Lytechinus pictus: one gene and its partners. The protein of the gene in region 2 binds, or shares a complex with, the protein of the main gene of each other region. Links are inferred from orthologs where the notes say so. Each region holds a gene or a part of one and is shown on either strand. Other genes may lie near its edges. The genes, in order: exosome complex component MTR3-like, exosome complex exonuclease RRP42-like and exosome complex component RRP46-like.

Evidence for each region.
Region 1: exosome complex exonuclease RRP42-like (region 2) and exosome complex component MTR3-like share a complex: the UniProt entries of both Homo sapiens proteins name them as parts of the RNA exosome core complex. The link is inferred for Lytechinus pictus from reciprocal best matches to the Homo sapiens genes EXOSC7 and EXOSC6.
Region 3: exosome complex exonuclease RRP42-like (region 2) and exosome complex component RRP46-like share a complex: the UniProt entries of both Homo sapiens proteins name them as parts of the RNA exosome core complex. The link is inferred for Lytechinus pictus from reciprocal best matches to the Homo sapiens genes EXOSC7 and EXOSC5.

The regions. Positions count from the first base shown.
Region 1 is NC_087245.1:11,453,088-11,463,331, forward strand, and holds the start of exosome complex component MTR3-like, read right to left. Parts: upstream 5,136-10,244; 5' UTR 4,887-5,135; coding exon 4,797-4,886; intron 714-4,796; coding exon 656-713; intron 379-655; coding exon 125-378; intron 1-124. UniProt on the Homo sapiens protein: Non-catalytic component of the RNA exosome complex which has 3'->5' exoribonuclease activity and participates in a multitude of cellular RNA processing and degradation events.
Region 2 is NC_087246.1:61,515,404-61,526,266, reverse strand, and holds the start of exosome complex exonuclease RRP42-like, read right to left. Parts: upstream 4,656-10,863; 5' UTR 4,603-4,655; coding exon 4,507-4,602; intron 3,047-4,506; coding exon 2,933-3,046; intron 1,850-2,932; coding exon 1,670-1,849; intron 714-1,669; coding exon 574-713; intron 1-573. UniProt on the Homo sapiens protein: Non-catalytic component of the RNA exosome complex which has 3'->5' exoribonuclease activity and participates in a multitude of cellular RNA processing and degradation events.
Region 3 is NC_087251.1:26,027,346-26,038,021, reverse strand, and holds the start of exosome complex component RRP46-like, read right to left. Parts: upstream 4,769-10,676; 5' UTR 4,725-4,768; coding exon 4,625-4,724; intron 3,995-4,624; coding exon 3,873-3,994; intron 826-3,872; coding exon 685-825; intron 1-684. UniProt on the Homo sapiens protein: Non-catalytic component of the RNA exosome complex which has 3'->5' exoribonuclease activity and participates in a multitude of cellular RNA processing and degradation events.

The DNA of each region.
Region 1 (10,244 bases), on a different chromosome or scaffold from region 2:
ATCTCCTATGCCTATATACTTCCTGCACATGTTAATGGTACTGTTACATGTATTACCCATATACAACGTAAGCTGAAAGACATTGACACAATCACACTCTTGTCATTGACTGAAAGTAGCTTACCAAGCAAACGGCTGGTTCTAAGGCTTGCTGCACCTGTAATGCCAGGTCCTTCTCTGTGGATGTAGTTAAATGGCCTTGCCTCACTTCACTGGCAAAGGTAGCAAATTTAAACTCACATCGAAGCTGACCATTGATGACAAACCCATCTCTCCTTGGCACCTCTCTTGGTCCATACACTGCACATATGACCTTGGTGTTCTTCATTTCAATATAACATGATCCTTTCGCTTGACTAACAACCCCAGCTTTGAGAACTGAAAATCAAAGATGAGGGAAAAATGGTAGGTGGGAAGACATAGTAAGTGTTTACACAATAGTGTATATGACCTTAAGAAAACATTACAAGAAGTAGGAAAATACAAGATAATCAGAATTAACTATGTGATGATGTCAGTTTCTAATAATAATAGGAGAGGTATGGTCTATATTCTTCTGACCATAAGACAATTAATATCAACCATGCTTTCACTGATTGGATATTCTGAAAATTTCCAAGCTTAAATACAAACATCATAAAAAACAAATACTTACATATTGGTCTGATTTCTTCAGGTGATCTTCCATCTTGTCGCTTTCCTTCCTCTAGAAGCTACAGGTAATTGAAAAATTAACAAGAAACATGAAGGTATCAAATGCCAATTTCTAGCTAGAAAGTACAAGATTGTACTCCCCGGAGGGGGGGGGGGGGGGCTCAAATTATAACATGATACCTATGTGCCGCACCAAAAATGAAAATAGGGCCCATTAGGGGGCTCTGGAACTCAAGTTCTGTGTTAAAATGGGGGTCTCTGTAACTGCTCTAGGATCAACGATTTCTAAAAATGCAATGCTCTGGAACAGCACAAATTCAGTGTTTCGGAGCATTGCATGAATATGCATGAAATCGGGCATGATGTTTCTGCCCAATGAACAAATCAGCGGTCTCCGAATCGATTAAAAATTAGATTGAAAATGGGGGTCTCAACCGCCGCACATATATATCTTACATTTATAACAAGTCCCCCAGGTTGAATCCGTACAACAAATAATTATCTGTATACAATTCACATTTCAGTTGTAAGTAATTATGTAAAAATTGATAATTCTAAAATGTGAATCGTATGCAAATAATAATTATTTGTTTAATAATAATTTGTTGTGTTACAAACACTGCCTCCACACCAAGTTCATCGTCCCTACATCATCGCAAAACGAGTCAAAGGTCATGCCTCTGTGTTATAAAGTGTGGAAGCATTTTTGTAGCTGCAATTAAGCGATCAGTCTGGTAAGAAACCTTGTAATTTCTTTTTTTCTTTTTTTTCTGAAGTGAAGCCTTTATACGCAATAAGAATATTAGTGGTATCTTCACATTTTCTGGCAGCCGAGTTGATGGTCTATCTATGTGATGTTTCCACGTCTCCTCCAGGAAGAGAACACAATCCCAGGGCAGCATAAAGACTATTTTTGGCCACTAACCTACAGTAAGGAGTGTACAGTGAGGTACCATATGTATTTTTGGCACATAAACTTGATCTATTTTGCTACTTTTTCAGAAGTTATAGGGAACATTTGTAACTTTTAAGTAATTTTTATCATGTTTTAGGACTTGAAGATTATTTTTGTGTTTTTTTTTTTTACAAATTCAGAGCTTTCTAAATTTTGTGGTCCTACTAAAGGCTTCAAAACCTGATTTATTCCGCGTTTTTCCAAAATTAATGTGGTGGATTTTTTAGGAAACTCCATCATTGTTTACCACGTTCGACACACAGGTCTTTAGGGCCAGTGTCTAGGCTCCTTGATGAAAAGACAAATAGATCTAGGTCTATCATACATGTAGAAATATCATAGTGCTCCTGCCTTGGGCTTAGACAGGAATAACTGTTGTTTCTGGGGATTTATTCAACAATTTCTGACATTTTACTATCATCCCCATTCACCAACGGAAGTACGTAAGTGCGAGCTCTCATGTGTAATCATTTCTCCCAATTCGGGCCTATATTGTTTTGTCTATATTTTTATTTTCTTGAGGTCTAAATGATATTACATTATCTTGAACGATTGCGCACTATTTTCGTTAGACTCTAATCTTTCTTTCGATACTACGAAATATGAAATAAAAGATAGAAAATATATGTTGCTGATGATTTATTCCTTATTTTTACAAATTTTTTGCCGGAGAGGGAAAACGTTCGTTGAGATAGTCTTTTATCAAAGCTATCCGATTAGACTTTTCGATATGGGAGCGACAAATTCCGAGAAGCGTTATGCAGCGGCATAAATCATGATATATGGCGACTGGTAAAGACGTCTGTAAGGATGATGACGTCATTCAAGATGGCAATTTACGATGACCAACGAAAGGATCGAGGATGACTATGTTTTTATCAATTGAAGGGAATTAGCGGTAACTGCGGTCTGAAGTATTACATTTCTTAATGTTATATATTTCTTTGTCAAGTTGGATGTAAAATTTCTTCTTTGTAAATGGGATATTTTATGTACAAAAACGATCTGAAAATCGGTTTTTTGCCGAATGTTACTTGTTAGATCTAACGTTACTGCTAAAGTAAAAGTTACAGCTTTACGTACAGGCCTCCATTGACTTCAGTCTATGTATTGGTGAGAAGCCACGCAGTTCAGCAGAACAACCAAATACAGAGACTGAAGCTTTTTGGTCTACTTGGCCTTGGACTTTATAAGACTTGGCTACCAAAATTAAAAAAATTATTCATTTCATCAAATTCATGATCAACTTAGAGTTAGATCTATCATCTAGCTATTCCACCACATTTTACACACTTCTGATCGTCTCCAACAGGCCGTTCCCGATACTCCCCTTCTAGCATACCGACGCCCACCGAATCTCAGGGACCTCATTGTTCGTGCTGAAGTGCCCTCCCTCACTAACCATTCTTCTCCCATACAGCATGGCACCTTCAAATGCACCAGCAACAGGTGCATCATATGTGAAATACACCTTCACGAGGGCGATACTTTCACCAGCAACTCTACCAGCCTGTCTCACCAAATCAAGGGCAACATCACATGCACTACCACTAATGTTGTATATCTCATCACTTGCAGAGTTTGTAGGGTACAATACATAGGGGAAACCAAGACCACACTCAAGAAACGATTCTATGGGCACAGATCCACCGTCAACACAGCAAAGCTGGACACTCCAGTTGGCCGCCATTTTAACCTCCCCAACCACTCCATCACTGACATGATGCTACAGGGCATCGAATCTTTAGGTACCCGTCCTGACTCAGTCCGTACTAGCAGGGAGAAGCTCTGGATGAAACGACTTCGCACCACCCAACCTCATGGCCTGAACATCCAAGAGGGGAACGACTGATTTTTCTTTCCTATCCACTTTCAATTTATATATACATATAATTTTTCCCCTCAGCTCTTTTGAATAGTTACATTATAGTTTCTTACTCTACTTTCCTCCCATATCTCATACAAGCTCAGCTCCAATTTTTCCTTCCTTATTCAGGCGATATAATAATAATTATTATATATATATATATATATATTTGTTTTTTCTCCACTCACCTCTTTTAGATTTACCACATTTGCTTATTTACATGTATACTATGGTTTCTTCATAATACACCCCCTCTCTTCTATATTTGCTTTTACCTTTTTAGGCAATTTGCTTCCTCTTTTTCACATATACAGGTTTTTTTGTTTGTTTTTTTTCCTACTATATAGTCTTATGTTTTTTTCCCGTCACACCTAGCGGATTACAATATCAGTTACACCATATGTGTATTTATATATTTTTTCATATACATTTCTTTTTTGGATATATTTATATACATATCACTTATAGATACATATTTACACTTACCTTCTTCTCTTAGTTTGTTTAATGCTTTATCATATATACTTATATGTCTTTTGCACATTATCAGTTGTTCCCCATTCTTTTTCTTTTTTTTCCCCCACTCTTATGCACCAGTTTATTAAGCCTTTCTTTGTAACCTGTTTGACCCACCTCTCACTAATTCTCTTGTTTTTCATCCCATTATCACTGTTTTGTTCCAGATCCTGTTTGATGTTGCCTGCCTCATTATTTTAATCCCTCCTGGCTTGAGGTCTTTTACTGGCCTTACTTACACTAACTTCCCTTTGTGTCTGCCTACTCCTTTTCTTTCATCCCCTTCACTAACCCGATTGGTCTTCTCTACTCACTAATGCCCCGGCCTTTTGTCTCCTTGTTTCTAGTGTTGCTGTAGCTTGTTTGTGGTCTATATTATGGTTGTTCCACTTTATATGTTTGTCATTTTGCCTCCGACGAAGATTCTGCTAGGATCGAAAGCTTAGGCCCCTTTTTTACTTTCTAATCTAGCTATTCTATTTCTAGCTCTCTTTTTTTTCATTCCGAGTCCGACATTGCCATGAATAATTGCAGAGTGCTTGAAATCTGTAGACTGTAATTGGCTTCCCTGTAATTTCTTCAATTATATCATTATCAAATGTTTAACAACGGGTGTTTCCTTACTTTAAGTTTACTATTAGTAGGCCTATTAGTTTTGCGGCGCGGCGAACTGCAACTGCACTGAAAATTCACCACGACTCCGATGGTTACCCACGCCGGCAGTCACGGCCAATGATTAATGAAGATGAGCGGTTCCGTGACGTTAGAATAGTCAATAGAAAGGGATTCTTGATCTCTACTTACCGGTTGATGCAGTTTATCAGTCCGTTTCTTATACAAAAAGGTGCTTTGCGATTCATCTGGTCCTTGAATGCGCTTGGTGTCAGTCGGCATTTTTAACAGTTATGTCTCAAATTTATATTAAATTTGGAAAAAGTGCTTAGCTTCGTCAACCTCGTTTAAAATTTCAGGATCGTGGGTGCAGTGATATGGTAAAGTTAGCTGAGCAAAATAATAGGGAAAACACCAAAAGCATTTCGCTCATAATATGAGCGATGTGCGGAGGATTCAAAAACAAAGTAAATGTATTAAATATGCCCGTCAAATGACAGAGAACATGGGAGGTCTTTATCGAAAATTTGTGACCCGGAACAACACTTTGGTCCTAAGTTTTAGGCCTGGCGAAAAATTGCAACTGTATTGCCGTTTGTCCAGAATCAAGGGCACTGTATGCATGCATGCTTATTTAATTCATCAAAACTGAAGCATCTTCTTCTTCTTCCTCTCCCTCCTCTTCTTCTTCCGCTTTTTATATTCTTTCTCCCCATCTTCATTCAAAAATGAAAAAAATGCCATTTTGATTGTAAGTGCATTGCAGTCATCTAAAAGTCCTTAAAAGCTTTGAGAGTTATTAATATGCTAATGAACAGTTTGGAGAGAAAAATTGAATATGTGAAAATATATATCATTTGTAAGAAAATCTAGATTCTACTGACATTATATTCTTAGAGGATTATTTCACCCGAAGCAACACTCACTTTAGACTTTTCTAATTTTCGAGCCTCATTGGCTAAAAAAAGCGGATGAATAGAATATCTCATTTTTATGTGCTCGTGATGCATTCCATGATATCCAGGTATTGAGATATTCACTTTTGAAATCGGTTATTGGAATATTTAGATTTAGAGATAGTTTTATTCACTTTCCGTTCAATATCATAATTTATGATACATAAAATAGAAGAAATCATGAACTGAATTGAGGTGAACTAAAATGATTTTGGCTGATAAGTAAATGAAATAGAACGGAGGACACACCAAGAAATGCCATGCTGGTATGAGAGGCAAGCCCTGTAACTTATGGTTTCAGTTATTTTGCAAAACGAGTATACATATACAGCAACATTGGGGGGGGGGGACGGAAACTTTACAGAATGTAAACGTTTTAACGAATGAGTGACAGTAACTTTAGACAAAGTGATTATGATACAATATTAATAATTATAAATAATAAATAGTATAAATGAAATTATAAGTGAGAGAAAGAGATTGAGAGACGAAAGCGATTTTCGAGACCTTCTTGTTATTTTGTGAGTGTCTGATGTAAATAAGTAGGCCTAAAACAAACTTCTCCATTAAAAAAAATCTTTGGATAGTAGAGGTCATTTGTGACATTGTCTAACTCTGAACAGAATAGATGAATGCCATTGAGTATCGTCTAGGTTGTTCTCAGCATAGGAAAATCATGGGGATTTTATTTTTGCTTACTTACTGCGCTCGCCCGTCAATTCTATGTTCATCTAAGTTAATTTCAACCAGCGATTATTTTTGTTTCAGCAATATTATTTATATAATACTTTCAATGTCTGTACATAAAGTGTAAACTATGTCGTTATCCCTTAATTGTATAGATGTAGGATTTCAAAATGCACAATTAAAAACATATGCTATTCGACAGAAATAGTGGTCTAGAAATATGGAATTTTTTTACTTATCGTATAGGCTTACTTCATTTAATTCATTTTCATTAGGCCTATCATTGTTTGAAATTTATTTCACATAGGTGGAGCAATGTGGCCCAGTGGATTAGTCTCCGGACTTTGAAACAGAGGGTCGTGACCGTGGGTTCAAATCCCAGCCATGGCGTAGTTTCCTTCAGCAAGAAATTTATCCACATTGTGCTGCACTCAACCCAGGTGAGGTGAATAGGTACCTGGCAGGAATTTATTCCTCGAAATGCCCTGATCGCTGGAAGGCTGCATGAACTACAGCCGGGGTAATAATATTCAAGTCATTTGGACGGGCATACAGTCTTTATTCATAATGTGATATGCGCTATATACAAGAACTGTCTATTATTATTTTAAATCCGACAACAATAATGCATATTTATTAAATTACAAATAAATGAGAAGTATAGAGGAAATATATAGTTGTAACTTAATTTCAATGGGAGGAATATGATGGGACCTATCATTCGTGAGCTTATCATGTACACTAAGAAAAAAAGAAGCACTTTCTTTTGATGGGTGCATTCTTGCACCTAAAGTGAAAAAAAAAGTTCCAAACGTGTATTATGTTCTTCTAGCTTTCTCCTGGAAATGACAGTTTGCTCCCTTTTGCGCTTGTTCCATCACAGATCCAGTTATCACGTCGGTCGGGCAATTCGAGAAAAGGTGAGGGCCACCTAAATTCCCGAATAGTCGGGTCCAGTTCACCCGACCACTTTAGAATTTTACTATAATTTTCACAAAATATCGGGTAAACTGGACCTGACCTTTTTGGGAAATAAGGATGCACTTTTCTCGAATGGTCGGGTAATTGGACTCTAACTTTTCGGAAATTTAGGGGCCTAGCTTTTCTCAAATCGTCCGGCTTCGTGAAAACCCGACCCGACGCGACAATACGATGTGATGACACAAGCCAGATTTTTGTTGAAGGTACATGTACTGCGTATGGTATACAACATAGGCAGCACGACCCCCTGGAAATCAGATTCGTATACGTTACAATGTGAACATTGAAATCACTAATTTTGCAGCGAATCACCCCCCCCCCCTTTTTTTTTTTTTTTGCTTGTTTTTTTCCAAACCCCTATTAAAAATCGTCCCAAGGGTCCTGGATGTACGACACGATTAGCACTAGTGATCATGACATTCAAATATGTTGTTCTTGACCAGTTTGGCTCAGCTTCGTTGATCCTTCTTTGATTTTCATGCTTTTACACGAGCTAATTTGCTTTAATGGTTTCATTGTCCTTTACCGCACAAGACTTCCTTTACTTAGGACTTCAGTAGGTAGTAGATAAATATTTTTGTTGTTATTAATTATCTTATTTAGACGATGGATAACACAATCTATAGCATAATCTCTATCAGTGGCGTACCGTGGGTCACGGCATTGGGGGGTACCAGCAAAAAAATTGAGTCACTTAGAGAGCGCGCAAAGCGCGCTCGGTTACCAGTTGACATAATAGAGACATTTTAAGGACAGTGCCATTAAACGGATATGTATCTCACTGATCACATAATGCGAAGCGCGAGCTGAAATTTTTTGAAAGTCAGACCTAAAAAGGGACATTATAAGCAAATTTTTGTAATCATAATAAGTACCTGTCTCGCTAAACAAACAATGCGAGCGCGAAGCGCGAGCTGAAATTTTTGTATATATTGAACCCCAAACAGGGACATTTTAAGGACTATATTCTAGGAATCTATTAAGAGTATACATATTTCACCATAGCCATCTAATGCGAGTGCCAAGCGCTTGCTGATTTTGTTAGAATAATATACATCTAAACACATGAAGCACTTGTAGTCATTGTAATCATGATTAACATACCCATCTCACTAATCAAATATTGCGAGCACGAAGCGCGAGCTGAAAATTTAGGAAATTCAGACCTAAAGAGGGACATTTTAAGGCTTCTTTGTAGGAATTCACGAAGATCATACGTTTTTCACAAACCAAATGATGCGAGCGCGAAGCGCGAGCTGAAATTTTTGTATATATTGACCCCCAAACTGGGATATATTAAGGACTATGTTTTTAAGGAATCCATTAAGAGTACACATATCTCACCATAGTCATCTAATGCGAGTGCCAAGCGCATGCTGATTTTGTTAGAATTACATCTAAACACATGACGCATTTTTTGTAGTAATTGTAATCATAATTATCATACGCATCTCACTAATCAAATATTGCGAGCGCGTAGCGCGAGCTGAAAATTTAGACCTGAAGAGGGGGCATTATAAGGCCTGCTTGTAGGAATTCACGAAGACCATGCGTATTTCACTAACCAAATGATGCGAGCGTGAAGCGCAAGCTGAAAATTTTTGACATTCAGATCAGAAAAAGGGACATTTTAAGGACGTTCCACAGTTAAAGTGAAATCCATGTCATTTTCACCAAACTTTGCACATAGATATTTTAGAACCTTAATATTCGAAATATGCAAAAATTAACATAGGTCCATGTGCTTGATTTTTTGCTATAGAGCTTCAAAGTTCACCCAAATTGATGTTATTAAGAATTGCGCATTCAAAAGAATTTGGCATTTTTAGACCGCCCAAGATTACTATAATGAGTTTAAACCTATATTACTCAGTCAAAATACATGAAAAAGTCATCAAATTTCGCAAGAGAGTTAATAATTGTATCGTTAGAATGGAGAATCTATTTATAATGCTATTTGTTTGCAATTTTAAGTTTAACAGCACTGTCAGTTCTTAAAAATGGCGTAAAAGATAACAAAATCCCAATCTAAAAAATGTAAAATTTAAGTAACAAACTACAAACGTACAATAAATGCTGCACTTTATTCAAAATCCATGTCATTTTCACAAAAATTTGCAGAGTTGTAGAGGAAGGTATACCTAAGAGGTACAAACATTAAAAAATAGGGGTTCATGTGCTTCTTTTTAAACTATCAGCATTTTTATTAGAGCAAATGTGCTTTTTAAAACACCAAAAATGCGCCGAATGCTTAGTATCTATGTGAAGAAAAAATCAAAACCACTCTACCATTTATTCAAACTGGGGTAATATTCGTGATTCTTGGCAGCACTGCAGAGTAAATTATTTTGAAATTGTAGAGAATATTTTTTTGAATGGTCCATGGAATAATTCCATTTTTAGCTTCATGAAATAACGCATTAGTCCAGGATAGTAGGGGTCGAACCTTGTTTTTTTATATATACAATGTTTTTGTATGGTTTCTTGTCAATTCGAGGGTGCTGATTCCGAATCTGAATGATGCCACTCGTGTAACCTTGAGCATTTTCTGCAAATTGGCAAAATCCAATATGGCCGCCAAAATATTCAAATTACCCATGAAAGTCATAAAATTGTCCACACATTGGCTTTAAAGTACATGCAATTGTGCTGCCGGAGTGAAATAATATCTGGAAAAATGATTTTTGTCAAAATATTTATTTTCTTGATATCAAAATGGCCGCCATCATAGACCCCTGTACAATATAAATGGGGAAAATTAATTTTTACAAAATTGAGCACTGAAATGCAAGTAATTATGATCTATGAGTGAAGCAATGTCTGTAAACATGATTGCTAACGATATATATCATTTGTTATGCCAGTTATGTGATAAATCCTGTATTTTGATATTCAAAATGGCCTTCAAAAGCCCTAACACTATTATGTACAATGTGAATGGTGACACACAAAAATCACAAGAGTGAGCACTAAAATGCATTTTGTTGAGATAAACGAGTGGAAAAACTGACTAAAA
Region 2 (10,863 bases):
CAATATTTTCGCGAATTTTTCTACATTTATTTTATTTGCTTGTTTTTTTTCACAAATAAAGTTGTTGAATATCACCATGGAACAATGTACAGAGGTCTCATGATATTTGATCCAGTGACAATTGCTTCATTCTAAATTCCACACACTAATCGAATGACCAACTTCAACCCTGGGTTTAACACTATACCCTACCATAAACCTAACATAAACACCCTATTGCAACCCTAACCCTACATCTTAGACGAAATTAAGCCTGGAGCAATGGTCACAGGAGCAAATGTTGTGTAACCCTAACAGAGGGCACTAAGGCTAGTAATGGTAAGCATATTTGACTTATGGACGATCACAGCAAAAACTCCCCATTCAAAAACTGACATTAAAAAGTTGTCAAATAAAGAAAACTAGAGAGAGGGGGAGGGGAGAGACTGTTTTGTTCTGCTCTGATTCAGGCATGCATTAAATTCCCCTTGGACACAGGGGGACATTTTATCCACATTTGACATCCAGCAACTTTCCTTGGTTTTTTATTGGCCAAGAGCCGATAACTTTCATGAAACAGTCCCCATTACATACCTTGTATTATAGAGAGCTGCTTTAACTGCAAGAGCAATAGCATCGAAGAGATTTCCTCCACATTCCAGCACAACTATATCAGCATAGAGTGTCCATACACATTGACCAGCTATAACACACAATGATTTGTAGTCCAACATCTGCAAAAGATATACCAAAGTGGAAAATAAGAATAAGGGGTGCTGCAATCATGTGATGGGGACATTTTTACAAAATCAAATTGCTGCAATTAATTGCAAATTTAATGTTGATAGCAAGATTACTTACACACAATACGTAGTAGCCAAAATATCAAATCAGAATTAAAAGCGCGTTGTAAGAAATATGCAATCAATTGCAAGGCTATTTTCTAAACAAATCAATCATAATTCTTGTAATCGATTTCACATTTAATATCGATTGCCAAATTGCAGCTTGCAACAAAAGAATGGTGAATTAGGCATGGATTACTAGTACAAGTTTCCTGCAGCAGCTTCATGAATAGTCTTTTATTTTGCATATATAGCCACTTTATTTACAAAATAGGATAAAACAACTTTTACAAAATCCAAAATTCTATTTGTTTGAAAATGCATATTTGACCTTCAATTTACAGGTATCTCACAATGTAATTGAGCATGAAATTGCACAGAACTATGGCTGGCCAATTATAACATGGGTTGTAAGTATCTTTAAAAAAATAATTCTGGAGTCATATTTTGTTAAATCTGTAAATTCGTGACCAGGGATTGTGACTCACAAAAATCAATTTTAGAAAGCTGTACATCAAATTCATAAAATTGATAAATTTAGATTAAAACTGATTTAAGTTGTAAGTGAATCACCTTCAGCTCCATGATAACCTTTAAAAGGACAACCATGAAAACACACTATAGGATACTTGGCTCGCTAGAGTTCATTAAACTTTTCTTTCATTTATAGAACACCCTTGTTGATTTGTAAATAGTCTATAAATTGCAATATTCAGATATTTAGCCTGATCTACAGACAAGCACAAATATCTCCTGCGTATGTTATTAAACCTGTTAACAACCTCCATTACACAAAATCTGATTTTTCATAATGAAATTAACTTTTGAAGATGCTGTTGTCCTACCTTTTCATTTTTGTAGACAAGCCCGAGCATGTTGGATATCTCTCCTGCCAGCTCATCTCCGCCCCGCCCGGCAAATTTGGGTGATGCGTTGGCTGAGAAGTCTACAAAGAATTCTATTGTGCCGCGGGAAGGATTTAATTGATTAGGTGGTCCCATTTCAGCTTTAACACCAACTAAAACCTTTCCAATTAAAAACACATTAAGAAAAAAAGTGACAAATTTAGAAAAAAAGTGTTCAAAATAAAAAAGATAGGGAGGAACATAAGTATAACGCCAAAGATAAAGGATCTAGGTGGATTTTTGACTGCATGCATTCAAATATGCTTCTTTATTTGCAAGATCAAGAATTCAAAATGCATCTTACTTCTGAAATTTTCAAATAATGACCTTTGCCACCTTTGACCTTGTCAGTATTTGAAAACACAATGCCCCCAGCACCCATCTATGGTGGGTGAAAGCATAAGAAAAAACACCAAGAGAGCAAAGGGTGGAAAATTCTGATACATTTATAATGATGCAGCATCACACTATCATGCTATTCAAATTGCCAATTTTAATAACCTGGAAAATTTAGTAGGAATTTCGAACATATGTTTTGATAGAAATTCTACTTAAAACAATTAACAGACAAGCGTTTTTCAAGTACAACTGAATCTTTGAGCCATCAGTTACTATGCATGATTTTGGTCAATTCTCTGAGCACAAAGATTATACTTCATTCCATTTAATTTCATTCAATTGAACAATATAACACCATGATAGCTGTGTGTATCTCACACAGCCAAACAAAGATACTTACCATGTTCAGATTACCCCCCCCCCCCCCCCCCGCTTACTGGGACAGCCTGCGGGGATCTCTGTGTGATTGATCCAGTCATTTAAAATTTTGATGTAAACTTCCTGTAGCGTCTTTGTGATTCAGCCAATCACTAAAACATGCCCACGAAGAAATGTGTAATAAGCTGGGAAGTTTTTTTAATTCCATCTCATTTCCATTTGTCTTTCTTTTGTCATTTTGTGACTTTGTGTCCAATTGACGTGAAGGGCTACAGCCTCTCTGTGATTGAGCCAATCTCTTAATTATTGTCATGTGCTTGGTAAAGATTATTGAATGTAGCCTATGTAAAAATATTGTTCATTTTGACCGAGTGGAATCTGTGCAGTGCCTTTGTAAAGTTTGATCAGTTTCTTTTGGAACCCAGTTTAGGATGAAAGTACACAAAGCAGGAATAGCCCATTTGGCAATTTACCAGTTAAACATACCTGTGTGTTTGAAAGCTTCAATCTTGCAGATCCACTTGTGTTGGACACTACTCCACATTCCAATTCAAAGTTTCGATAAGACAGGCATGTCCTCCCATCCGACCGCAGGTCATCCTAAAGGTAAAAGAGGTAAAATAAATCCTAAAAATTAACTTTGCTGATATCAAAGTGAAATGAATATTTAGCATTGGTCATCCAAGAGGGTAAGAGATCCTAAAATTTCTAAATTCATATATGTGGCTGAAAAATATGCCGGAATATAGCGAATTTCGATGACAATATGATCAGGATCAGGTTCTTTGACAGCTCGATCGCCGTCAGCTCAGCTACAGCTGAGTGTACGAAGTGCCAGCCAATCCGTTCGCTCAGCTGTAGCTGATGGCGATTGAAGAAGAACCTGGCTGATCCTGATCTGTTTGTCATCAAATTTCGCTATTTTCCAGCTTATTCTTCAAAAAGGTGGTAGGCTGATTATATTTGATATAAATTTATCTTTATGATTTCTTCTTTTTTCCCCCATCAAAAAGCAAAATTTAGGAGTAATCGAGGAGTGCAAAAGCGCTCCCTTTCTCCATAGTCCCTGTACTAGTAGTAGTAGTAGTTAAGCAACACCAACGGTTATTTGCGGTAAATTGCTCCAGAATCCAGGCAAGCCGTCGTCCGTCTGTGTAGGACAAAAAAAATCAGAAAATGTTGAAAAACTCCTCCGAAACAGCGGATTTATTAGTCTACTACAGACTCATTCCTGTCAACACAGTTCAAACAAGGTGATTGAATTGCAGACTGTGCAGCTGTGCCTAGCCTGGAGGCGTCTGGGGAGTAAAAGTCATCTACTCTACGTAGGCTTACTCCCCACTGACGCCTGGGTCGCAAAGGTATATTCACGCACGTACGGCCACAAAACCTGAAACTTTCGCCCCCGAGATTTATACTTTCCCTCTAAAAGATCTAGCCCTAAAACATGTACATGGGGTTCAACTTCATTTCCAACATTTCTGCAATATTGATTTCGTTTTTAAAGAAGAATTCATTAAAAAAACGAGAAAAATGTTATGAAAAGATGGGAAGAGCTTACGGCCGTGTTTACGTCGCCATCTTGATTTCTTTGTCTTCCGCTTGGCGACAGCATGCAAATTGCGCGATTGCGTGAATATACCTTGGCGACCCAGGCATCAGTGGGGAGTAAGCCTACGTAGAGTAGATGACTTTTACTCCCCAGACGCCTCCAGGCTAGCTGTGCCAGAGTTAGACCAAAAGCTTCGGTCTCTGTTATGTTTAAGCTTGTAACCGATTTTGCAATCGGCAACCGATTCCATTCGATTTCACAACAATCGGCGATCACTTGCCGATCTTCGATCATGCCCCTTGAAGGAAAAAATCGGATATAAAAAATCGGCATACCTGTAGATCTAGTTACAGTGCGGTCAGAACATATTCATATGTATAATATATAAGATTGTTCTTGCGGAGGTGCTAGCTATTTAGAGCTTTTTTATCGAATAGTTTCGAACAATCGAGATTCCTGGAATGTCAGAAATGACTCATAAAAGGTTGACCTACTTATGATGACCTACCGGTAGCTGCGCTGACTGGTATGGTGGGAGTGGAACTTGGAATGAATGTATTGTATAATACAAACAATGAACATGTACTTGTACTGTGTTTGTCATTTATCCCGCCCATGAGTGCACACAATGGCCAATAGCAATGGAGTTTGAGAGCTGTATGTGACTGCATGGGTGCATGAATGTGTTGTACGCATTATGTATGCTAGTGCTTATGCTGATAAATCCCGCCCATAAGTGAATACAATGGACCAATAGCAAGGGAGTTTGAGAGCTGTGTGTGACTGCATGAATATTACATGCATTATGTATGCTAGTGCTTACGCTGATAAATCCCGCCCATGAGTGAATGCAATGGACAATAGCAATGGAGTTTGAGAGCTGTGTGTGACTGCTTGTGTTGTGCGCATTATGTATGCTAGTGCTTACGCTGATAAATCCCGCCCATGAGTGAATACAATGGACGAATGACAAGGGAGTTTGAGATCTGTGTGACCGCGTGGGTGCAGGAATGTATTGTATGTATTACGTACCTAGTGCTTGCGCTAATTTTTGTCATAATCCCGCCCATGAGTTCACACAATGGACGAATAGCAAGCGAGTTTGAGAAATGTATATGCATGGAGCTATTAACAGCTCTATGGTATATGAATGCTGGGGTGCGTGGATGTGTTGTATATGCTAGTCAATGCCATGCTTAAATCCCGCACATAAGTGCACACATGGCCTATAGGGACGAATAATAGCAAGGGAGTTTGAGAGCAGTGTGTATGGATGTGTTGCGTGTTTTATGTATCATGTAAGCCATACTTGCAGTGATATATTGTCATTAATCCAGCCAGTGAGCCAACTCAAAGAATAGCACTGTTAGCAGTGTCAATCAAACCCACCACGTGCACATGCCAAAAGGTAGTGTAAAGAATTTTGCACTAGCCCGTTGAGTCTGGGCGGTTCCAGTTCTCGGCTATGCCTCAAAACTATCTTGTATTGTGTGAATGCTTGCGCGCATTGCGTAATTCACTGATATTGTTGAGTGGGTGAGTACCGGTATACAAAAAGATTGATACTGAGGCGTGACTTAACTTTTCCCAGAACTGATTCGGAGAAATGATGTACCAAGTAAGCTATTATAACAAAATGGGTGTACTTTGGAATGGTTATTGGGCGTGGCTGTAATCACACATCATAATGAGCGAACTTAGCTGAGCTCAGCTTCACATAAAAATACTTATAAAAGATGTCCCGCCGATCGTTCATTGACATGTGATCTACGACAATTATTTTCCTTTGCGACTTTGCTCGGAAGATGCGTCATTCGTTTATCTTTCTAATAAAAATCACTCATTTTATTGTAAAGCAGTTAAACCTCAAAACCCTTTCCTTTAAAAGCATGTTCCAAACGATCGCGCATGTCGACGACTTCCATTCCTAAACATTCGTCTTTGTGACTTTGTCAGGAAGATGCGCGCGACCGCGAACAAAATTTTGATGTATTCCTTTGTTTTTAAACATCGCCGATTCGATTTCGATTTTAGAAGCTTAACTGCCGATCCAATTTTCGATCTGATTTTTGATCCGATTTACAACATTAGTTATGTTGGTTGTTCAGCTGAACTCCGTTGCCGTTGGCTTCACTCACCAAATACAGAGACCGAACTTCTAGCGCGATCTGTACAGGCACTCATTCAATGAACAAGGTTATGATATAACCTTGTTCTCAGTTACATCTCCATGTGTGGCAAAATAAGGGTGGCAATTTTGGCTTATTTTCTCTTTTTCTGTGGGACAAATGCTTGATTTTTTTACACTGTCAGTTTCCGATACATCTATTCCTCATATAACTTGGCTCTTATGTAAATTTGATTCTTTAAATTATTTTTTCTTAATTAAAAATAGAGATTGAAAAATGAAAAATTTCTTGCCATATTACTTTCCACCTATAGAGGGCGCACACAAAAATATGCCAAAAATTCAAGTTTTTGAGCGCTCTGGTGAACACAAAAATTATTCCCAAGTTACTAATTAAAAATAAATTGCAACTGTATGGAAATTAGTAATTTTGGTAACAAAAGTGATATTTTAATGATTTTTTAAAGTATGTGCTATGTACAGCATTGGCATACCATAGTCCTACCTGTAGATTCCCCACAGGCAGGATGGTTGCAGTGAACAAGGGCCGATTGCACGAAAGGGTCTTTGCAAGGACCGTCTTTCGTGTCGCCCATCTTTTATGATACGCCATGTGAAACGCATTTCAAATAAATTATCTGCAAATATATTTTATTTGTCCGTTAGAATAAACAAAAATATTTTTTTATAAAATGATGTGATAAAAACTGATATCTCATGAAATTGTATAAAATTTGATTTAAAAGCTAGCTTACGAATTTTATTTGTTTATCATAAATTTCAGAAACACCCCGCTTATAGCGCATCATAAAAGATGGGCGACACGAAAGACGGTCCTTGGAAAGACCCTTTCGTGCAATCGGCCCCAGGTGTGTACCACTCTAGGCGACACCCCAATACTTACCCGTGCTAATAAACTGGGACTCCACTCACGCGCATTTGGGCCGCCCTAGCTTAGAACTAAGCTTTGTTTTACTAAAAAATAAATCTTGTAATGATTCAATAAATGTTACTTAATAAATTAGTACTGTTAAATCGGTACTCACCGGTTCTTTTCTTGAATTTTCTGGCAATTTCCCACGCTTCTGGCTTCAATTCTGCGGCTGTTCCTGTCGCGATAGACAACTACATATGCAACTTTATTCATAAATAGAGCGCCCCTTACGATAGTTGTTAAGAACGCGGCCAAATTGTTAGGTTTTTTGCACTGTGTCCAAGGCGTTTTTATTTTGTTTGATTTTTTATTTTTAATAAATATTTTGTTAAATAGCGATTTTTACGTCAAATATTAAATTCATATCACAAAATATTTTTAATTGTAGAAATATATATAATATCATGCAATTATTCATTCTATATATATTTTATAATAAAATTTATAATTGTTGCGGTCTTTAAAAAAGGATAGTCGATTGATCAGGTGATGACCACACGTATCACGTGATCTGAAAATCAGCTTCATACCGCTTTGATCGCACTCGACGGTGACCGGACTGACTGCCAAAAAAAGATCGAAAAATGACTCAAATGTAAGTTTCCCTTTATTTTATTAAATTCAAATTAGGAATAGGAATATATTTAATGGGCAATCTTTTAATAAATGATAAACAAACGAGGACAAAACTCATATTTTGGGAGTAATATCATACTTGGGTGCAGGAAACAGTACGTTTAGAAGTTCTAACCTGTTTTTAACGCATTGTCGCCTATGAGGTCCATACATGTTAATGTTTGGACCTCATTGGTACTAGGAGTGGTGTGTACAGGGGACTCAATCGTCAATGGCCATATGTTTATGTGTATTAAGTTCGGATAAAACAGGGCAGTGAAGTTGCGCGACAGCCGAGGTAAGTCACTGTTTTTGTTCCTTTTAACTTGATTTTCCCCGTTTTTTGGCAATTAATGCCAAGAGGGAATATTAATTTGCATTTCGGTCGGGTTAATTTTCATAACCACTCTAGGCGACACCCCAATACTTACCCGTGCTAATAAACTGGGACTCCACTCACGCGCGTTTGGGCCTCTCTAGCTTAGAACTAAGCACTAATATCACCTTAAAAACTAAATCTACAAGGTATGTATAATCTATTTATAAATTTAATAATGTTTAATCGGTACTCACCGGTTCTTTTGTTGCATTTTCAGACCATTTCTCACAATTCTTCGTAAATATTTGCGGCAAATTTTGTCGCCATAGACAGCTTAGCGTCCATCTTTATTGATAAATGGAGCGCCCTTTACGATAGTTGTTAATGCCGCGGAGAAATCGTTCGGCATTTTGGCCTGTGTTCAAGGCGTTCTTTCTGTTTTATTTTTATATTGAAGATTGTGCATTTGTTGAATAGCGCCGTCTACGTCAGGTATGAGATCGAGTGTATAAATACACTCTTCCAAAATAATTATGATTCCGACCTGGCGCTGTTTAACTTCAATCTCTTTCACCTAAATTAGCGATGAATGCTAGCATTATAAAATATATATTATTAACGTCTGACGAAAAGAATAACCAACCGATCAGCTGACGAGAACGCGAATCACGTGATCTTCATATCAGCTTCGATCGCGAGTCAGAAGAGAGGAGCAGTTGCCCAGAAAATCAGGAAAAAGCCGTGAAAATGTAAGTTCCCCTTCATTTCTTTCAATTTTTTTTATTGCTAACAATGTATTCAATTAGTGAGATCGAAATGTAATGATTAGACAGTACGATAGCTTGTAGTTTTGATAAAATACAAAAATAATCATCTTCACAAAGATTTCTGACACAAAATACTACTGATGTCGCCTATGAGGTCCATACATGTAATGTTGGACCTCATTGGTACTAGGAGTGTTCATAACAAAAGTTTGATTCATTAAACTTTTATTTTTTAAAGACAAAAATTGAAGAGCCCCGACAGGGGGATTTTGCATTGTAAGTCCCCTAATGGTGGCTGCACAATAGCGAGCCGTCTGTGTATGAGGAGAAACTTAAAAAATAAAAAAATGTTAAAAAACTCCTCGAAACAGACGGCTGCCAGCTGTCTATGCCAGAGTGTGAGCTAGAGAAAATTACAAACAGAAAAATCAGCGTATGGGACTGAACTAGTCTCATATATCAAGACAAAATAGACAAAACTTGAAATAAAATAACACGGAATATTGGACAGTAAATTACCACTTACCTTAATTCCATGTATTATAAATGTCTTTTCACCTTCTCCCAATTGAACTGAAGCCATCTTAGGTCAAAAATCTAAAGAAGCTACAAGAAGAGTCAAACTTTGTCTTTTGACTGTTTGGATCGGTCTCAGCACGAACAACAGCGACGGTAAAGTGCACGTGCAAAAGTAAGTTACGTAACCCGGTACGTGTCGTAATAGGTCCATGATATGATGCAGCCAGCCTGCATGCATCGGCAAAGACGTTTAGTGGGGGGGGGGGGGGGGGGGGGGCACGGAAATAAAAGGATTCCGTGGGGGAGGTGTACACCTGCCAGATACATCTCCTTGAGGTCAACGTATATTTTTGTCTCAATACTACTACCCATTCTCACCAAAGTCGTAGACAATTTGATTTTCACATGCCCTCCGTCCATACTACTTTTACTAAAAAAACTAGAATATGTATTCAGCCGGTCCCAAATTATATGGAACTCTCTTCCCCCTACACTTAAAAATAGTTTATCCCTTAATAGTTTTCAACGTCAGTACAAAGTAATTCTGTTAACAACGTCCGCATCCAATAACAACTAAGTAATAGTAACATGAGTAATCTTTGTGTTTGCCCTTCTCCTTATTAATTCTCACTAAATTTCATCTGTCGATTTTCTGTGACCCTCCACATACGCTAGTCCTTTAAAGTGTTTGCCTTTCTAGGAAAATGATAGAAAATAGGTAATTACCTATTTTCTATCATTTTCCTATAGTTTGCCTTTCTAGGAAAATGATAGAAAATAGGTAAAAATTACCTATTTTCTATCATTTTCCTAGAAAGGCAAACACTTCATTTTAACTTTATCAATGTATGTTTTTCCCTTGTATGCTTTTGTCTTTGTATGTTCTATTTTGTATCCCTTCTTTTTCTTTCTTTACTGGGCTGGAACTTCTAAGATCCAACAGATCTTTAATGCCAGTCCCCAGGCCAGTCCACACTCGAGCTGTTTTGTACACTATTTACTGTATTATCATTTTTGTTACTTTGTTTTGTTCTTGTCATTATGTATTTCTTATTTACCTGTATATGTTATTTTTATCAAGTGAAATAAATCTTGAAATTGAAACATTTCAGCAGAAGCTTAACATTTGAATATTCTTCACGGTGAACATTGTGACATATCCTGTGGGACAGCGGGGATATATCACCCGAATCGTTTCCCACAATTTGATCCTTTTACTCTTAAACATATTTTCTCTTATTTCGCTCGTTTTTTCCTTTCCTATTTTTCCCCCTAAATTTTGACTTGATCTCTATATTTCCTCTTTATTTTTTCTCTTGCATACCTATATCTCTATTATTTTATTTTCCTTTCTAGGTCTTATTCCCCTCTCTTTGTCACTCTCACTACTTCTTTCTTCTGTTTTCCTTCTCCCTCTTCCCACATTTTCTCATCAGTTGCAGTATGCTCTTTTCATTCACACACACCCACATTTATTTTCATTTAATTGTGCTTCATGGGATTTCTATTCTTATTTATGTTTATCTCTTTTTTATTTGTGCTTTTGTTTCAACCTCAACCATTGCATATTATTAGTTGATATA
Region 3 (10,676 bases), on a different chromosome or scaffold from region 2:
GTGGGGGTTACATTTACTAGAAAGGTTTTCGAAATGGCCAGATCCGGCAACACAGAAACATTGTTAGCCTAGCAGAGCGCTAACAATTATCCCAGTCACATCTTTCGGATTGTGAAGTCAAAACATTTATTTCAATGTGTAAATAATGTATTGTTGTAACATTAGGTATTGCTGCCACATTACCGGTTGTAACAGGGCCTCTGTTAGCGCATTGTTAGTGTAACAACTTATCTAGGCGGTCAGTACAGGTTGTTAGAGCTGTAACATAGGTGAGATGAATGCTAACATATGCAGTCATACTAACATGTGCGGGAATGAATAAAGACAATGATGTTATGCTCTAACCAATAACAGGTCTAGAGTTAAGACTAGACGCCAAAGCCTCTGTCAGTCAGCCACAGTACATAGTGAATCTAGACTCACTATTTCAGACTCTGCATTATGCACTGTGCAAATTGCGAAAACCAAGGGTATGCCTGCAGACTAGATGTTCTCAGCGATGTAAATGTAACCAATTTGCGCCCAGAATAGTTGCATTCATGTCACTTCACTTTATCATAATTTTCAACAAGGCAATCTGCCTGCTGTATATATATATTTTTGGTACAACCCATTGAGCCCCATGCTAGAACCTATTGAAAATGTGTATTATAACATCAAATCAAATGGAATAATCAGACATACCTTTGCCTGTTCCTTGGTTGGATCAACCACAAGGTCCTCATCTTTACCCATCATGCAACAGGAAGCTGCGACAGTACATTTCATGGGGATGCCTGCGTTGATCATGGCCAAGCAAGCTGCGTTGATACAACATGCTAACAGCTAAAGATTATTCAAAGTCAAGAAAAATACAGTATTCAAATCTTGGTATCTAAATTGTAAAAGTTCCCTGATTTTACAAAAAAAAATGTTAATTTCCAAGACTTATAAATCTGAGTAATTCAAACTTCTTAACCTTTTAATTCCCAAAATGAAAATAGGGAACATTTTGATAATTTTGTATTTTGAAAGATACAGTACGGGGCATTTTCACCACAGATGGACACAGAGGCAAAAAAATCAAGTTGATATTCATGTCAAATGCTTTATGTTTTTTAATAATACAAGACCTGTAGTTTCTGGGACAAATTTTTTTTCCGATTCTGGCAGCCATTTAATTTTCATTTCAAAATGGCTGCCAAAGTAAGGATACAAATTAGTGTTAAAAATAGTATATTGATACATATTTTGTTTTGACAGATTTTTAAAGAATAGGTTTGACCATGTTTTCGCCTGTGATTTAGCTTGCTATTATAACACTTTTTAAAATCCCATAGAAAGAGACACCAGTAATTCATTTATCTGATAAACAAACATTGATGAAGTATGTGATATGGTATGTAATGTCAGTTACCAAAAAACATGAACTCTTTTTTCTCATTTCCCAGAAAAGAGGATATATTACGGGTATATGAAACTTGGTAGATTTCCTCTCTAGGTAACACCCCTCCCTTCTACACCAAAATTAAAGATTACCAATTAACAATCAAGCCATAGGGTACCATTAAATATGTGTAACGTCAGTTACCAAGAGGAAAATGTAATGTCAGCTACCGAGATGTAATGTCAGTTACCATGATAAAACGTTGGTTACCAGTAGTGAAATGCAAATGTGTGGTCAATTTTATGGTGAAGAAATATTGTATACTTGTTATACAGTAGTCTTTCACTTAGTTTAAAAGTCACACCAGAAGGAGCTTGCTATTGACTTTTAAAAGGTATAGTTCACAAGGAATACTATATAAAATTATGAAGGAAGTTGCATTCCCATCGTGCAAAAAAAAATTACTATGAAATTGTTTTGCGTATGTACATGCACTTACCAAGTACCTAATTGTTTGTATCAGACAATTTTTTTTCTTCGTTTTTCGGGGGAGGGGGTACTTTTCCCAACCTATTACCTAAATCTGCAACATTTGATAAGCTTTTATGAATGGGGGTTTCCAGGGCCCGTTTATTAGTTTCTAGGATTCTTTTGAGCATTGCCGGGCTAAAAGTAAATTCCTGGTTTTTATACCTGTTAGTAGTGTGGATGTGTGATACAATTTTTGTTTTTGGTTTACAAGTATAGCTGAAAAGTGAAATTTGACAGTTCTGATTAATGTTGCATGGATCTACTAAAACTGTGTTTTTTTTTTCTAATTTACAAATAGTTCAGTTTCAGTTTAGAAGCTGGAGTTTATTTTTTGTTGACAGCTTAAAAAAGAAATTAGCAAAGAGAATGATTAAACAAATTATGAAGAGAAATGAAATCCGACAGATATGAACAAGCATTGCTTGCACTGACCAGAATAGAAATCAATAACACTGCATGGCTGCATAGGAGACCCTTATTCATTTCGCCTTTTTTGAGGGGAGGGGGAGGCTGGAGATGGAAAAGGTTTAAAAAGTCAATATAAAACTGATGAATATAAATGAGTGTAAAGTCAGAAAAATCCATGTGTACAGTCAATACAAAATTGAATTACTATAGGAATACATGTAGCTGCTATGACCCCCCCCCCCCGAGTAAGTAAAACATACATTTCTTATCTTTTGACAATTAAAAATGTGAAGTATTATGAAACTTTTATGATTTTAAAAAGCCTTACATATAAGTACCAAGAGAATTATGCCTTTGAAAATCATATAGCACTGGTAGATGTTCATGTGTAATGTCAGTTACCGACAAGTAATAATAAAATATTCAAATCAAAGAAAATTAATTAAGAAAACGAAAAAGTTTTTTTTATTGAAATGTTCCTAGAAACTCACGTATACTTCCACATCAAGCTCACTTTCATGTGAAGCCCTGGCAAATTAAGTGTAATGTCAGTTACCAGCATGGTCGTGGAAAAATTATCATAGCCCCCAAAAGACAAAAGCAAATTATTTAATATTTTGACACGTCTTAACCTAGTAACAAAGGTATATTCACATATTCAAATTATTACTCTATCTACTCAGGGACATGAGATCTTTCAATTTTACTGAACACCCTGAAATTGCATGTCCTTTTTGTGTAACGTCAGTTACCGACACATTTTTGCTTGCTGATGCGTTACAAATGTGGTTACAATGAAAAACTTAGTATCAAAGTATACAGCAAGGTTCACTTTATTAACTCTATCAAAAGCAAACTCCCATCATTTGTTGTTTTAGAGATACACACAATGAAAGGTGTGTAAAATTGTGCCGTGTCACGTCAGTTTCCATGAAAATGCCCTAAGGAAAAGTAGATACATTGTTTGTGGAGATTAAATCAAAAGCAAATTTAAAGAAATGTATGTTGTGAAGAAATGAAATACCAATTAATCTGATCCAATTGAATACGGTTTCAAATAATCTATTATCCAAAAAGTTTATAAAAATCATTGTGATCCTGCAAAATAGATGGAAAGCAGGCTAGTAATGAACAGATGGACCAATCTTGGAAGCATTACAGGAACCTTGTTTTCAAGTTCTATGTTCATGCAATTAAAGCCACTAGAAAGGTAGCCTTGTCCACATGTGTTTAAAAAACACATTACCTTAAAATAACAATAATAGGGTATTTGTATAGTGCACAATGTTCTGTATTCTTAAGTCAAGTTTGAAATTAAATGTGCAAAATTTGTTTACATTGTACAATTCTTTTGTTTACTGTGCTCTTTTCCCATTCTTTAATGGTAATTGAAATTATTTCAGTTATTCTTTTAAGAAAATTATCAATTATTTGAGTAAGAGATGAGCTGGTAAATTGACCCTGTACTGTTAGAGATTTGTGTCACAATTGGCTACCCATCGTTAAATGAGAGTTTAAATTCTACTGGAGTTCAGATCATGACCCATGTGTGTCAATTTAAGGATACAGCCCCTGCATCTTGGATCTCCTGGATGATGATATCAACAGAAGAACGTGGGAAGAGTGTGGTCAAGAGGACCGTCTCACAGGTATTCCTGATCATCCTCTCCAAGGCTTTCTCTCTTACACCTGATGAAAAAAAAAACCACATCATACGATCATGATGAGTAATAATTAATGTATTTGAGATTATAAATAAGATGGCTGGGGTCTGTTGAAAGTATATATTGAGCACCTTGTCAAAAGGCTATACTGCATCTTTTAGCCAGAATCTAGCTATAATCCAGCTATGCAGCTTTTCATAACTTTCTGGTGGTGATTTTTGATGAAATGCGATGATTAGCAATGAAAGTCCACTTGCAGGCTTCGTGCAAAAAAGGCCCCTTTCACAGGTTACTCCTTCCTACTGCATATGTAATACAAGGCCACTACATGATCTCCACGTAGCCTTAACTTTCCAAAAAAATGTTATGATCTCTTAACAATAATGTATGATTGAAGTATAGATGATGAGGAAACCACTAATCAGTCAATAGCAGTATGTACTACATTTCTCCTAGGATGTGTAAAAGAAATATAATGAACAAAGATACAGTGAAAATGAAGAAATGTGCTGAAAACTGTATTCATTTACAATGCACGCAAAATTGAATGTAATATTGTAAAACATTTTATTAAGTATTGACAATGAAATGTGACCAAAGCATTAGTTGGAAAAGAAAAAAAAAAGGAAAAAAATTGATTGAGAAATTTCTTTACCTGCCATTCCTACTTTTGGTTTGTATGTAACTGTTACTGTTGCCTTGTCCATGAGAGCCTTATTTGGTTTGATATCCCCAGGCCCATAAACTGCAGCCATTACTGATGTATCACCTGCAGTACAAAAACATCGAAGGAAAAAGAATATCTTGCTCAATGCCACTTAAAATGACAGCTAATCACATTGGCAATTATATATGGATTATGTCTAGAAAACAAAAAATGTTCTTGATATCTTTAAAATCAAGTGGACGTTGTAACTCTGGCAGCTCTGCTACTCGAAGTAGCAGATATCTGAATTTCTTGTGACTCAAGAGCTATGTTGTATCAACCAAAAGTTCACTAAGGCCCGTATTCTGAAGTTGGGTTTAATTTAAACTCTGGTTTTAAGTTGTGGTTTAACTATGGAAAGTCAGTTGTTACTTAATCTCCAACAGTAGAGGTTCAATGTATCAGCTCATTTGACTCCCAAAACATTTTAACTGCCTGGGAAGGCATTAGATAATTAGTGAAGAGCACACTTAAAATGAGAAGCATTCACTGTAAACAAAATTTTGAAATGTTTGGCTTCACATAATTTTAGCACGGAGTTAGACCATGGTCTAAGTTAAACCCAACTTCAGAATACGGGCCTAAGTATTTTTTCCCAGTCTTTAGGGTAACCAATTATGTGTGACTGATCCCTATCAAATCAGCTTATAAATAAGCCTTTGCAAACCACAGCCAGTAAAGGATCAGGGGTCCGTTGCAGAAAGAGTTGCGTTTAAACGCAAGTCAAAAAATCAATCGCAAGTCCAAAATGCGCGCTGTTGATTGGTTGAAAATCAAGTTGCACATGATTTTTAGAGTTGCGTTTAATTCAACTCTTTCTGCAACGGGCCCCTGTTGCTTAACCTCCCCAGATAAACAATGATATTCCAGAATTAAAATCTGTTTCCTATGAGATCATGAGTACTGTATTTGAGTCAAAGTGTTCAACTTTGACCACAAACATTGCAAGAACACCTAAGATCAAGGATCTTGAACCTCTTGTAGATCCTTTAAAATGGCATTTCAAGTCCAGCATAATAAGATGGATCCAAGACTGGGACACACATTTAAAAGTAGTATTCTATTATTGTACATTGTAATCGTTTTTTGTTGTAATCAGTGTATTATGTGTTGTATGTTCTGTGTAACCAATTCGTTTTGTAATGTTGTTTTGTTTTTCGTTGAAAAGGCAGCACCTTGCTTGACATATATGCAAACTTCTTGATGCACTTCCCATATTATCTTTGTATATTAATATTGGAATATCTAAATATAAATGAATTGAAGTACAAGGAGCCAGCATCTAGCCCTGCCTTTGATCCATCAAAGATTAACCTCAGCAACAGCAGACAAGGAGAAAATTCAGAGAAAAACTCATCAATCCCAAACATGGACCCCCAAATTGTCCAAAAGAACAAATCAACAGTGCATAACACAAAGACCAGGCCTTTCAACCTGCTGCCAATAGAGAAGACTTTGTAATGGTCTCTCTTAATATGAAGTAATTTTGAGTATCCTCCTTCATATTGTTCCCTTAAACAATGTGATTACAACAGAAGCACTTCTAAAGTTAGGCTCATTAAAGTACGACCAGCCAATTACTCTTTCTTGCAGATCAAGGACACTGATGAATCCCAATTTGATAAAGAGGTGCCTGAGAGCAAATGCAATATTAAAGACTCTTACTTGTAGATCAAGGCAATTGGCGATTCAAGATAAGATACAAACATGCTGAGAGTCGAAGTGAGTGAAGCTCATTAACGTATGACCAGCTAATGACTTTTACTTGCAGATTAAGAACACTGATGAATGCCAATTGATACAGCCTGAGAGCAAATGCCAGGAAAACAGAGGTACTTTAAGTTTGGGTCATCCAAGTTACACCAGTCGATAATTCATACAACTTGCAATTCAAGAGCAGATACATTTTTTTTGTATTCCATGCTAATAACAAGTGTAGCATTTCTAATGCAAGGGTCGTTAAAGTAAATCCGGCACATGACTATTACCTGGAGATCAAGTCTGCCAAAGACTCAAAACCTGCAGAACAGGATTTCAAAAATAAGGATTAAACAACATCAAACAACAGTCATTTCATTAGCACAAGTGACCCCCTCCCCCCAAATGTTTTTTTAAGAACATGGACCTCCCATTTGTCCACATGAAAAGGTCAATGGAGCAAAATAAAAAGACTGGCCCTTTTCACCTGCTGCTCAACTCCCCTAGATACTTGAAGTAACAAGTTATCTTTTGCTGGTTTGGGTTTTTCTTTAGCAGTGTAAATGTAAGTGAAATAGAGCCAGAGACAGCATTAGTCTGCTAATGAATGAATGATGAAACTATGAATTGGCAAAATTTGAAATCAACAGTTTGAAAAATGTCTGTTTTCTCATTAAAAAAATGTTAGTCATTGAACGAACATGGAACGAACCATCAGAGAGTAGATTCCCAAAGTCCACCAACCTTTGAATGAATCTAGATGCAACTAGAGTCCTGAACTTCATTAGGAGGAATTTTAACTTGTGCACTCTGTTCATTAAAGAACTGTATTTGTCCATTGTAAAGCACCATGGAACCCTTACACTCAAAATAAGGTTGACACTTGACTGTTTTTTTTTCCATCTGTTTAGCATTAAAAAAATCTTATTATAACTGCTATTAATTCTACATCTGAGACAATACTGGAAGCTAAACGGGGATGGGTATCCAGGATATGTGGAAAAGGTGCTAACCTCATTGCCATTCTGAAGGACTAGAAGAAGGCACCACAGCTCTGAGAGTGCATTTATTTACATCCTACTAATAGGCCCATTTGTATAGTGCAACCAAGTACTGCAGTTGATATTTGTTTAACCAGGCTGTAGCTGATCACATCACACACACAAGCCGTAGGTTGAAGAGAACGTAGGCTACAATACATTTCCAACAGCAACATACAACTTTGGACTCCTTGCAAATTAATCTTTTTATATGAACTCTACATTAATGGAATGAACTCTCCCCTCTGACAACTGACTGTTGGCTAGCCCGCAGAGATCTACTTCCCCAAAATACACCATTCATTCTAAACTTACCATTCTCTCCAACCAACCTCTAATAAAAACTCCTCTTGGATTACTTTTTTTGGAGGGACAATATAGCAAATAACCAAGTACAAACTTTTCACAAGTTTTCCTGACATGGAAAAATTCCCTAAAATATTAACCTTCAGCAGATGAGCTAACCCCTTAAAAATACTGAATACATCACTACTGGGCTGAGTAAGCTACCTCTGACCACAGGTGATGGTTCTAGTAGTGTAGCAGTCCAGGGCCCATTTTATATTGGACTTGCAACTGTTGTAACCATAAATGGCAACTACCATGGTAACAGGGCTCAGCAGCCAATCAGAATCAAGGTTTCCATGGTAGTTGCCATAATGGCAACAGTTGCAGGTCTTTATGAAACAGGCCCTCAGCTCTAGGTAGATTACGCATGGTTTTAATTGTCTGGCTTGCCCATCGGCCCAACGATTACGTAACGAGCAACATTATCTTTTCATGATAAAAGATAGTAATAGCAGTGTTAGGTACGCCACTGATAATTCAAATCTTCATCCAAATCTGTTGAAACTTACCTCAACATAAAGACAATGTGTCACCCATTACGATGATGCATTGATTAAGACATATGATGAAGAATAACTCAAGTTATGATTAAAAAAAAAAAAGATTTCTAAGTATTATCCATTCCGAACGAATTGTCGACCATCGAGTATCAATCACCACCCCGCATGCGCATTCGGGGATTGCCAATTCGGGGCGGAGATTTTACATCGCGCATAAACGCTTCTCGCGGCATGGTGACGAAGCGTAAGTGCGCATCATTTGTGAATGGTCATTTTCGCGGCGCTCATAAATATGCATGTGTGTTCATGATACGCATATATCGGAGTATTTTGTTGTTGTTTTGCAAGGCACAGTGTGCAAGACGATTGATTTGAGACTTAAAGTTAATTTCACATGTTTTAACTAGATTATCTGAATTACAGTGCACAATTACGACATGGAAGACCATTGGGATGGATTTCAAATATAATATGTAAGTGAGTTGATAACATTTGGTTTTGCATCTTTCTTTTTTCAAGTTGTTTTGAGAACGAGAATTTTTTCTTTCATTTTAATCATCATTTCTTGTTTCTTGTCTGTCCACCGCAATTTTTTGTAGTCCTATGTTACATTTTCCCCTTCAGTACACTGATGCTTGAAAGTATGAAACCGAAAAATGCACCCCCCCCCCCCCCCCCCCCGCGTTCATCCTTTCTCTCGATCCCTAACAATAACAAAAAGGATAATAACATAAGCTGATACTAGATAGAGTTTTGACAAGTTATTAAAGTCGTTTTTTTTTTTTTTTTTTGAGAGAGGTGGGGTGGGGGGGTGATGTAATTCCCATTTTCCCCCCTCATTTTTTGTTTTTATTCGTGACTTGATATCCTTGCCTTTACGTGATTTCCTATGCATGCTCAATCCTTGAAACTTTACATAATTTTGAAATATTTTTACAGATCCATAGTACACCATACAGAACTTTTTTTAAAGGAGCTAGTCTCAAGTTTGTCTCTCTGTTTTGTTTCCTTTTCTGTGAGTTCCTTTCTTCTCATTTTGTTCCTCTCCTGTACTAACTTTACAACCATTTGCTTTTGTTTTTGCTCCTCTAGCCTCACTTTTTCCCAATTTCATTGCATTCATTATTTTGTTTTCTCTTTCATCTACAGGAAATTTTTGTAGCCAGGAGGCTGTATCATTTGATGAAAACATCAGTTTGGATTCGACCTTACCACAGAAATGTTAGGGGCCCTATGAAGCATTGCATCCGCTCTGCCAAACTGCCTCTCACCCGAGATATTTGTAGAACTACACGATGCACTTTCTGCAGCAAGATCCAGCTAAAGTTGTGATGAACTAGCATATAATAGATTTCTTATATTCATAACATTCATCATTCCAGTTCTTAATTGATATTTCAAAAGTTTAATAAATCACTTTACATGCATTTAATATATTTCTTATATTCATATCATTGATCATTCCAGTTCTTAATTGATATTTCAAAAGTTTAATAAATCACTTTACATGCATCATATTGAGCTGTACATTGAATCTTGCCTCATCTCTACATAATACCCCCCCCAGCAATAAAAAAATGAAAATCTAATAAAACAATAGAGCTGCAGGCAGTAGCGTACCTAGGATTTTCCACAGGGGGGGGGCAAAATCGTCTGCCCAAAAATTTGACAAGCAAAAAAGTCTTCAACCACAAATAAAGGATTTCGTACCAGAAAAAAAAATTACAAGCAAAAAAAAAAAAAAAAGGTCCTCAACAGGTTATTAAGTACATTTCGCACCAGAAAAAAAATTACAAGCAAAAAAAAGGTCTTAAACTTCAAAGGAGGGGGCCACCGGTGGCTCATCAGGGGGGGGCAGGGATACGTCCCTTGCATGGGTTGTGACTCGTCGGGGGGGGGGCAGTCTGCCCCCCCATAGGTACGCTAGTGGCTGCAGGTCCACCCACCCATCTGTATCAACCATTACCTCCAATGAGAATACCTAATTTTAAATTTCATTGAGCAACTTCATTAATACTGTTAAAATATTCAATTTATATTTTTATGTGGAGTTAATTAATGTAACCAATGCCAACAAGGAAAAAAAATAAAATGAATACTTTCATGTGTCAGTGTGGATTTGTCATTTCTTTTTTAAATTTATTTTAATATTCAGATCTGTATGTGTATCCTTTTTTAACACTATGTTCCTTCTCTTCTCTACTGCATGTGCCAAATAAATCATGAAAAAATTACATAAAGTCTAAATAAAAATATTTAAACAGACATACAAGAAAAAAAGTGTTAGTTTGGGGTGATAGAAAATGTTAGAAGACAGTTGGGGGGGGGGGTGAGATAAATCAATTGTTTCTTTCTTGTCCATTTAAAAGCTGCAATTCACATTTGTGAATAATTAAGTAGTTGGTAGAACAATTC